Zea mays: one gene and its partner. The protein of the gene in region 2 binds, or shares a complex with, the protein of the main gene of each other region. Links are inferred from orthologs where the notes say so. Each region holds a gene or a part of one and is shown on either strand. Other genes may lie near its edges. The genes, in order: Gamma-tubulin complex component 2-like and uncharacterized protein LOC100280166.

Region 1 (2,740 bases), on a different chromosome or scaffold from region 2:
GCGTGGGGGAGTGTGGGAAGTGAACTAACCGCGGATGGTTGGTGCGGAGGTAGAGCGCAAAAATGGCTAGTGCGCGCGGGGTCCCCGAGCGGATTTCCGGCAAACAACAGGGCCGCGAGAGGAGACTGGCATGCTGAGTCCAGAATCCTTGATTGAGCTTGGCAGCCTGCCACTACGCACTATCGTGCTGATTCGTGTGGAGGTGGACCCAACTTAAAGTTACCGCGCATGGACCGGATTTTAGAGAAGTCCAAGAGACTCGGTGAAGTGCCTTTGCTCGGTAAAAAAAATGAAAAGCGCCATGGCTTTCATACTCGCTTCTTCATCTGGCTCGGCATCACAGGTAGTGTTCTACAGCTGCATGTCACGACGACAGTCCTGGTGGCGGCAGGTGCAATAAGTGGATGTGAAAAGTTAAATTTAGAGAATCTGTTGGTTAACCCCACCTTGAAGAAGTTATCTATTTTAAAGAGTCGTCCATAAAACTCTATAATTGGCTAGGATTTATAACTAGACTCTTGGAGTTGCTTTATTTGGATTTCATCAACTTAAATTAGCTTAATAGCATGATATTTACTATTACATTACTGGCCGCTAACCAACTCTCGTGGAATACCAATGCCCAGTTCGATTCAAACCAAACACTTTTCCCACACACGTGGAAATGAACTCCACAAAGCTTACATCTGAGTCTCACAACACAACACAACACAACCACACATTGCTATTGTCAGATATCAACAGCACGAAATGCTGAGTCGCAGCTGATAAACACACAGCAAGGTTCGAGCTCAAGATAACAAGGCTCCCGACACCACCCTAGGGTCACTAAACGCGTCGTAGCTCCACATTAGCATTCACAAGAAACGGATATGCACCTACCTTGACTGCAGCGGCGCACATAGAGTATGGCATTGTGCCAAAAGTCCAAATGAAGGCAGGCAGGTATGGGTACGGCCCATCAAATAACTCATTGGCCGATTCGCACGCCAAGAATGCACTGTGCGAGATGAGTCACGTACGGCTCCGCTTGTGAACTGTTACTCAGCGTAGGAGCAAGACTCTGCAGCTCTGAATTGAACGCTGCTTCAAATTTCCTGCAGCCAGCCAAGACCAATGCGATGTTAGATGGGTGGAACTTAATTTAATACCAGCGTTTCAAGGGTAGATAGAGGAGCGGATACGTACAGGATCGACTCTGACATGACAACATTCTCTGATGCTAGTTTCAGCTGCTGGTCTCTGTCCTGTGATTTATCGATTCTTGATCTTGACTTCCTAGACTTCGATGTGTTCTCAGAGTTAGCGACATCGATAGATGGCATCAAGATCTGGATGGAAGTGGCATACTGAAGGCATAAACCTTTCAGCTTCTCGACTTTCTGTGAATGCAAATAAATAGAACAATGATAAGAATTGATTCTTTCAAAAAAAAATCTTGAATGGTACCAAGAAAAAGCTATCAACCAAAAGTTACTGTTTTATCTTCTTTTCTTTTAGTTTTAAGAGAAAGGGTAAAAGGACACACCACAAGGAGTTCAGGCGACAACAGCAAGCATTCTTTTAGACACTTCTGGAGGAAGAAATCATGGATCTGGATAACCTGCAAGCAGTATTAACATCAAAAGGTAAGGCATTCCGCACGGTTAGCATCGCAGTTTTTTTTTTGCAAAAAACACCCCAAATTGAAAAAAAGAAGTGCAAAACCTCATCTATGCTCCTTGCTGTTTGAAGGCGGTCATGCATCAGATGCCAATTTGGTTCAAGAACCTGGGACCAAATGAATAGTTTAGAACTTGCCCAACATGTATGGTTTACCTCAAACGTCAGACAATGCATGGTGTTATCTGTGGTTTAGCATGATCAAAAGAATAGTTTAGCATGCTGATATGTATGGTTTACCTCAAATGTTAGATAATGCAAAAGGCTATTTACAAACTTGAGCATGCTACGACAAAGAATTGATGACCGCAGAATTGGTGTCCCTAGAATCTTGACAGACCGGAATGCCTGTCCAAGAGTTAATATCCAGTCAAAGTTGGCGTACACAAAAATGTTAAACTGGTTTTGCAGGAGGAAAAGGGTTCATTCATACTTGTTGTATTTGCCATGCTGCACACAGCTGGCGACTAACATGCTTGCAGTGGAACAATAGGCGAAAGATCAATTGGTATTTTGTCAAAGCCTTCCTTGAAATTACAAGAGATAACGGCCACTGGACCTGCAGGGTACAACAAGTATATCATTTCACTATCACAAGACAAACATGAGGAAAGTTTTAAACAAACTATTAAAATAGAAAACCTTATTGCTAAGGCAGAATGTTTCCAAACCCGTGATGCTTAATTGCATTGATCGATCAACATCTGCTGCAGCAAGCTTATCTGCAGGATCCAAGTCCTTCAGAGTGGCCAGTTTCTTAAGGAGGGAACTCCTTTCCTGTTGAACGCAGATGTAAACAAAGATGATAAGCTTGCTGCAGTACTCCGTAAAACGCCATATAGTATGACCAGATCCAGATAATATTTACCACACAGCAGATTAATTCCTCATGGCTTGGATCTGAAGCAGCTGCAGTACTCCGTAAAGCAATGTCAAGCAGAGACTGCCGTATAAAATGGACAAAGAAAGCAGAAACAAAACCAAAGAAGCAGCAGCTTTTTCATAATCAGAGTTGACCAAAAAAATCTGCTTTTGTCATGGCACAAACACACAGAAAACGCATATGAGACAAACCTGA
Region 2 (4,444 bases):
CAAAGCCACAATACTAAGGGTCTGTTTGGTTGGGCTGTGTATGTGAAAAAAGTTGTTGTGGGCTGTGAGCTGTGGAAAAGGTAGCTGTAAGCTGTAAGCTGTAAGCTGTTAAAAAGCTAAAAGCCGTTTGGTGGAAACTACTAAAAGTCGTTAAAAATTCTTCGACATATGTTTTCACAGTTCCATCCGAAAAGCCACTAAAAGCAGGTCCAGGGGTGCTTTCAGATTTGCACTACGAGAAAGTCGGCTTTTAGAAAAAACTGTTTTCTGAATCCAGCCCTTTGGTTGGATTTTGGCTTTTAGGAGGACAAAAGCCAAAGTCAAAAGTCAAACCAAACACACCCTAATAAATGTTTTCCTCGCATCTCTCTAGCTAAATCGATAAGGACCTGTTCATTTGAGCCGGAATTCACCCTAAGATTGATCCAATTGATCAAACCCTATATAAATTAGACAAAAAATCTGGCTAAGAATGGTTACAGATGACCATTTCTTAGGAACCGAACATGCCCTAAAGGTATAGGTTGGTATATCGTAAAATCAGAAAAAGCTACATATATTCTACCACGGCTACATATTTTAAGGACATAAAACCTATGTGTCCTAACAATATATAGAACATTAATGCGCAATTTCATTACTATAGATCCACTTCACAAGGAAATTAGAAGGATTCAAACACCATACTTGATAAAACTTTGTTGAGCTCGTCCTTTGGACATGTATGCCCCTAAATTTACAATAAATTAGTAAAGCAAGGTGTTATATTGGTATATTGTTTGAAATCTTGTCTCGGTTTATCCTACACCAGTCATGCCACACGGACGCTTTACGACGAGCCAAGCGGCTTGTAACCATTTTTTTCCTGTCACTCAGAACTAGCTATCGGCCTACCGCACCCGCAAAATTTCCCAAACCCCGCACACAATTGCCGGAACCCTAGCTCCACTCCATCCTCCCAGCCCGCACCAATGACGGACCAACAAACCCAGGATCTCGTCAAGGAGCTCGTCCACCGCCTCCTCTCCGCCGCCGAATCCGGCGGGCGCGGCGGCGGGCGCGACACGGGCGGTGCGCTGCGGTTCGCGCACCGAATCCTCTCCAGCCGCCTCGCCCCCGCGGTCCTCCCCGATGAGCACGCGCTCGCGGAGTCCATCAAGCGCCGCCTCGCCGCCTCGGGCCGCCCCGATGATGCGCTCTCATTCGCTGACCTCCACTCCAAGCTCTCCGTCCGTGCCCGCCCAGCGTCGCTGTGGCCGCTCCTCTACCTGCTCGACTCTCTCTCCTCGCAGTACCGCGCCGCCGCCGCGGCTTCGTGCCTCCCAAACCTTCCCATCGCCGCCCTACCGCAGAATGCCACCTCGGGGACGGCGCCGGGCGCCGGTGTCAGGCCGGGTTCGCGGACGCACGGGGCGCCGCCGGGCGGCCTGGTGCTGGTCTCCAAGGATCCGGACAACATCCGCGAGATCGCGCTGCGTGAGTACACCGAGCTGGTGATCGACGAGACGGAGGTGTCGGAGGCCGCGCTTGTGCGGGACGTGCTGTACGCGTGCCAGGGCATCGACGGCCGCTACGTGCGCTATGACAAGTCCGTGGACTCCTACGACCTTCCAGACGGTGTTCGAGTGCCGCGATCCACGCGCACCCTCGTTCGCAAGCTATGCGAGCTTGGCTGGCTGTTCAGCAAGGTGCGGGGCTTCATTTCTGACAACATAAGCCGCTCGCCCTCAGATGCTGCCACTGAGGTGGGCACTGTTACCCAGGCATTCTGCTCGGCGCTCCAGGAGGAGCTGTCTGATTATTATAAGCTGCTGGCTGTTCTGGAATCGTACTCATTGAATCCAATTCCCACACCTGGATCTGATTCAGGTGTGTCCAGTAATTACCTCTCACTGCGCCGTCTTGCAGTGTGGCTTGCTGAGCCTGCAGTGAGAATGCGCCTAATGGCTGTTCTGGTTGATGGATGCCGGGGACTGAGGGGTGGTGCTATGGCTGGTGTGATCCATGGGCACGCACAACACGGAGATCCTATGTTTCAGGAGTTTATGGGCCGATTACTGCGCCGGGTGTGCTCGCCGTTGTTTGAGATGGTCAGGAGCTGGGTGCTAGAAGGGGAATTGGAGGATGTATTTGCAGAGTTTTTTATCGTTGGGCAGCCAGTGAAAGCAGAATCTTTGTGGCGGGAGGGCTACCTTATTCAATCTGATATGCTTCCAGCTTTCATATCTCCAGTGCTCGCAAAACGGATTCTTAGAACTGGCAAGTCAATCAACTTTCTTAGAGTATGCTGTGACGATAGTGGCTGGGCTGATGCTGCTGCCGAGGCTGCTGCATATGTTGGCACTACAACATCTCGGGGTGGCCTTGGTTATGGGGAGACTGATGCTTTGGAGGCATTGGTGGTTGAGGCAGCCAAGAGGATTGATCGACATTTGATGGATGTCATTCATAAGCGGTACCGATTTAAGGACCACTGCCTTGCTATTAAGCGTTACTTGCTTCTTGGGCAGGGTGATTTTGTCCAGTATCTTATGGACGTTGTTGGCCCCGAGTTATCAGAGCCAGCAAATAGGATTAGCTCCTTCCAATTGGCTGGCTTGCTTGAGACTGCAATCCGAGCATCCAATGCACAATATGATGACTGTGATATCTTGGACCGGATAAAGGTAAAGATGATGGATCATGGGGATGGTGATCGTGGCTGGGATGTCTTCTCTTTGGAGTATGATGCTAGGGTCCCCCTGGACACTGTGTTCACAGCTTCAGTTATGAAGATGTATCTCAAGGTTTTCAACTTCTTGTGGAAGCTCAAACGCGTAGATCACTCCCTTACCGGAGTGTGGAAGACTATGAAACCTAACTGCATTGTTTCTTCTCCATTTTACAAGGAAGGAACAAGCATCAGAGCTCAATTTGTATCAGTTCTTCGTAAATGTCAAGTTCTATTCAATGAGATGAATCACTTTGTGACCAATTTCCAATACTACATTATGTTTGAGGTCCTGGAGGTTTCGTGGGCCCGTTTTTCTGATGAAATGGATGCAGCAAAGGATTTAGATGACCTTCTCTTAGCACACGATAAATATCTCAACTCGATACTGGAGAAGGCCCTGCTTGGTGAACATTCCCAAGGACTTTTGAGGAATCTGTTTGAACTGTTTGACATTATTTTACAGTTTCGAAGCCATGCTGATCGATGGTTTGAAAGGATATATGAGTTGCAGCTAAGGTTAGATTATTGCAGAATCAGATATTGTGATTCCATCTTTACTTTAAAGCTTATCTCATACCTACTGTTTGATTTACATTTTACTCCAATGTTTCATTTTTATTGCAGGGGAAAGGGTAAATCAAAATCAAAGGATACAGGTTCATGGTTTGATGGCGGCAGAAAAGCTATGATCCAACTAGCTGGAGAACTTTTCTGGAAAATGGGTGAAGACCTGGATAGCATCGCAAAGGATTATACAGCTTCTCTTGATGCTTTTATTACGCAGCTGCCCATGCAACAGCACGTCGATTTGAAGTTCCTTCTCTTCCGCCTTGACTTCACTGAATATTACAGTCGTGTTTCCTCCAACAAATGAATGTGAGCCGCTTATGTGAAAAACTAGGAGTTAGATTGATCGTTTGGTTGGGACTTGGAAAGCATTATTTTTATACCATATCCCATTAATTGATCTTGGTCGCTTGATTGGCAATGGTCACTTCCATTTTCCTTGCACCTCCTGTAGAAGAGGATCTGAATACCCTTTTACTGAGGATTGCCAATGCTACAATCTGGTGATTCTGTCAGCTGTTTGCATGCTGATGCTTATGTGCCGATTCAACGAGGCTAAAGCCACGCATTTCATGCAACTCTGTACACAATTGTAAGTTTGTTTTGATCTTGATTTTCATGGATGTTCTGGTGTAAATTTAATATTTATTTTTTCTCTATTAATTTCTTGAGAATTAAAGCTGGAGGTCTTGAAGATTTGTCCTTAACAGTTTGTATTGTCAGTTTTACAAGAGCAGATAACTCATTACATTGTTTTGATCTTGAAGTTTGGTTTAGAAATGTAATGTAAATAGCAACGGTAATGATTTACACTCGAGTATCGGTAATAATAAGCTAAAATAGAACAATATTAATTTTTAGTGTGGTATCCGATTACGGTAACGTTATCAGTTATCTATCACCAGTTATCTCTCACGTTACAAATACAAATATGTGAAGCAAACATCACCTCAGTGTCCATAAGCTAGTGACCTGCTTGGAGCATGATGCAACTGAATGGCCTGCTTGGAGCATGATGCAACTGAATGGATGCGGAAAAAGGAGACTTGAAGAAATCCGTGGGAATTTGCAGATGTTCAAGCTTTGTCAAATACAAAAAATTTGGTTAGTTTTGGGAGTGGTTGCTATTTCTTGTGCAAAATTGTGAGCAACGATCTTAAATTG

Evidence for each region.
Region 1: uncharacterized protein LOC100280166 (region 2) and Gamma-tubulin complex component 2-like share a complex: the UniProt entries of both Arabidopsis thaliana proteins name them as parts of the gamma-tubulin complex. The link is inferred for Zea mays from reciprocal best matches to the Arabidopsis thaliana genes SPC98 and AT5G17410.

The regions. Positions count from the first base shown.
Region 1 is NC_050105.1:131,200,822-131,203,561, reverse strand, and holds the end of Gamma-tubulin complex component 2-like, read right to left. Parts: coding exon 2,737-2,740; intron 2,606-2,736; coding exon 2,531-2,605; intron 2,440-2,530; coding exon 2,305-2,439; intron 2,222-2,304; coding exon 2,096-2,221; intron 2,011-2,095; coding exon 1,903-2,010; intron 1,771-1,902; coding exon 1,708-1,770; intron 1,604-1,707; coding exon 1,529-1,603; intron 1,383-1,528; coding exon 1,189-1,382; intron 1,098-1,188; coding exon 971-1,097; 3' UTR 707-970; downstream 1-706. UniProt on the Arabidopsis thaliana protein: Gamma-tubulin complex is necessary for microtubule nucleation at the microtubule organizing centers (MTOCs). Required for the positioning of the gamma-tubulin-containing complex on pre-existing microtubules and for the proper organization of cortical arrays.
Region 2 is NC_050102.1:128,663,088-128,667,531, forward strand, and holds uncharacterized protein LOC100280166, read left to right. Parts: upstream 1-1,702; 5' UTR 1,703-1,934; coding exon 1,935-3,229; intron 3,230-3,337; coding exon 3,338-3,587; 3' UTR 3,588-3,856; downstream 3,857-4,444. UniProt on the Arabidopsis thaliana protein: Gamma-tubulin complex is necessary for microtubule nucleation at the microtubule organizing centers (MTOCs). Required for the positioning of the gamma-tubulin-containing complex on pre-existing microtubules and for the proper organization of cortical arrays.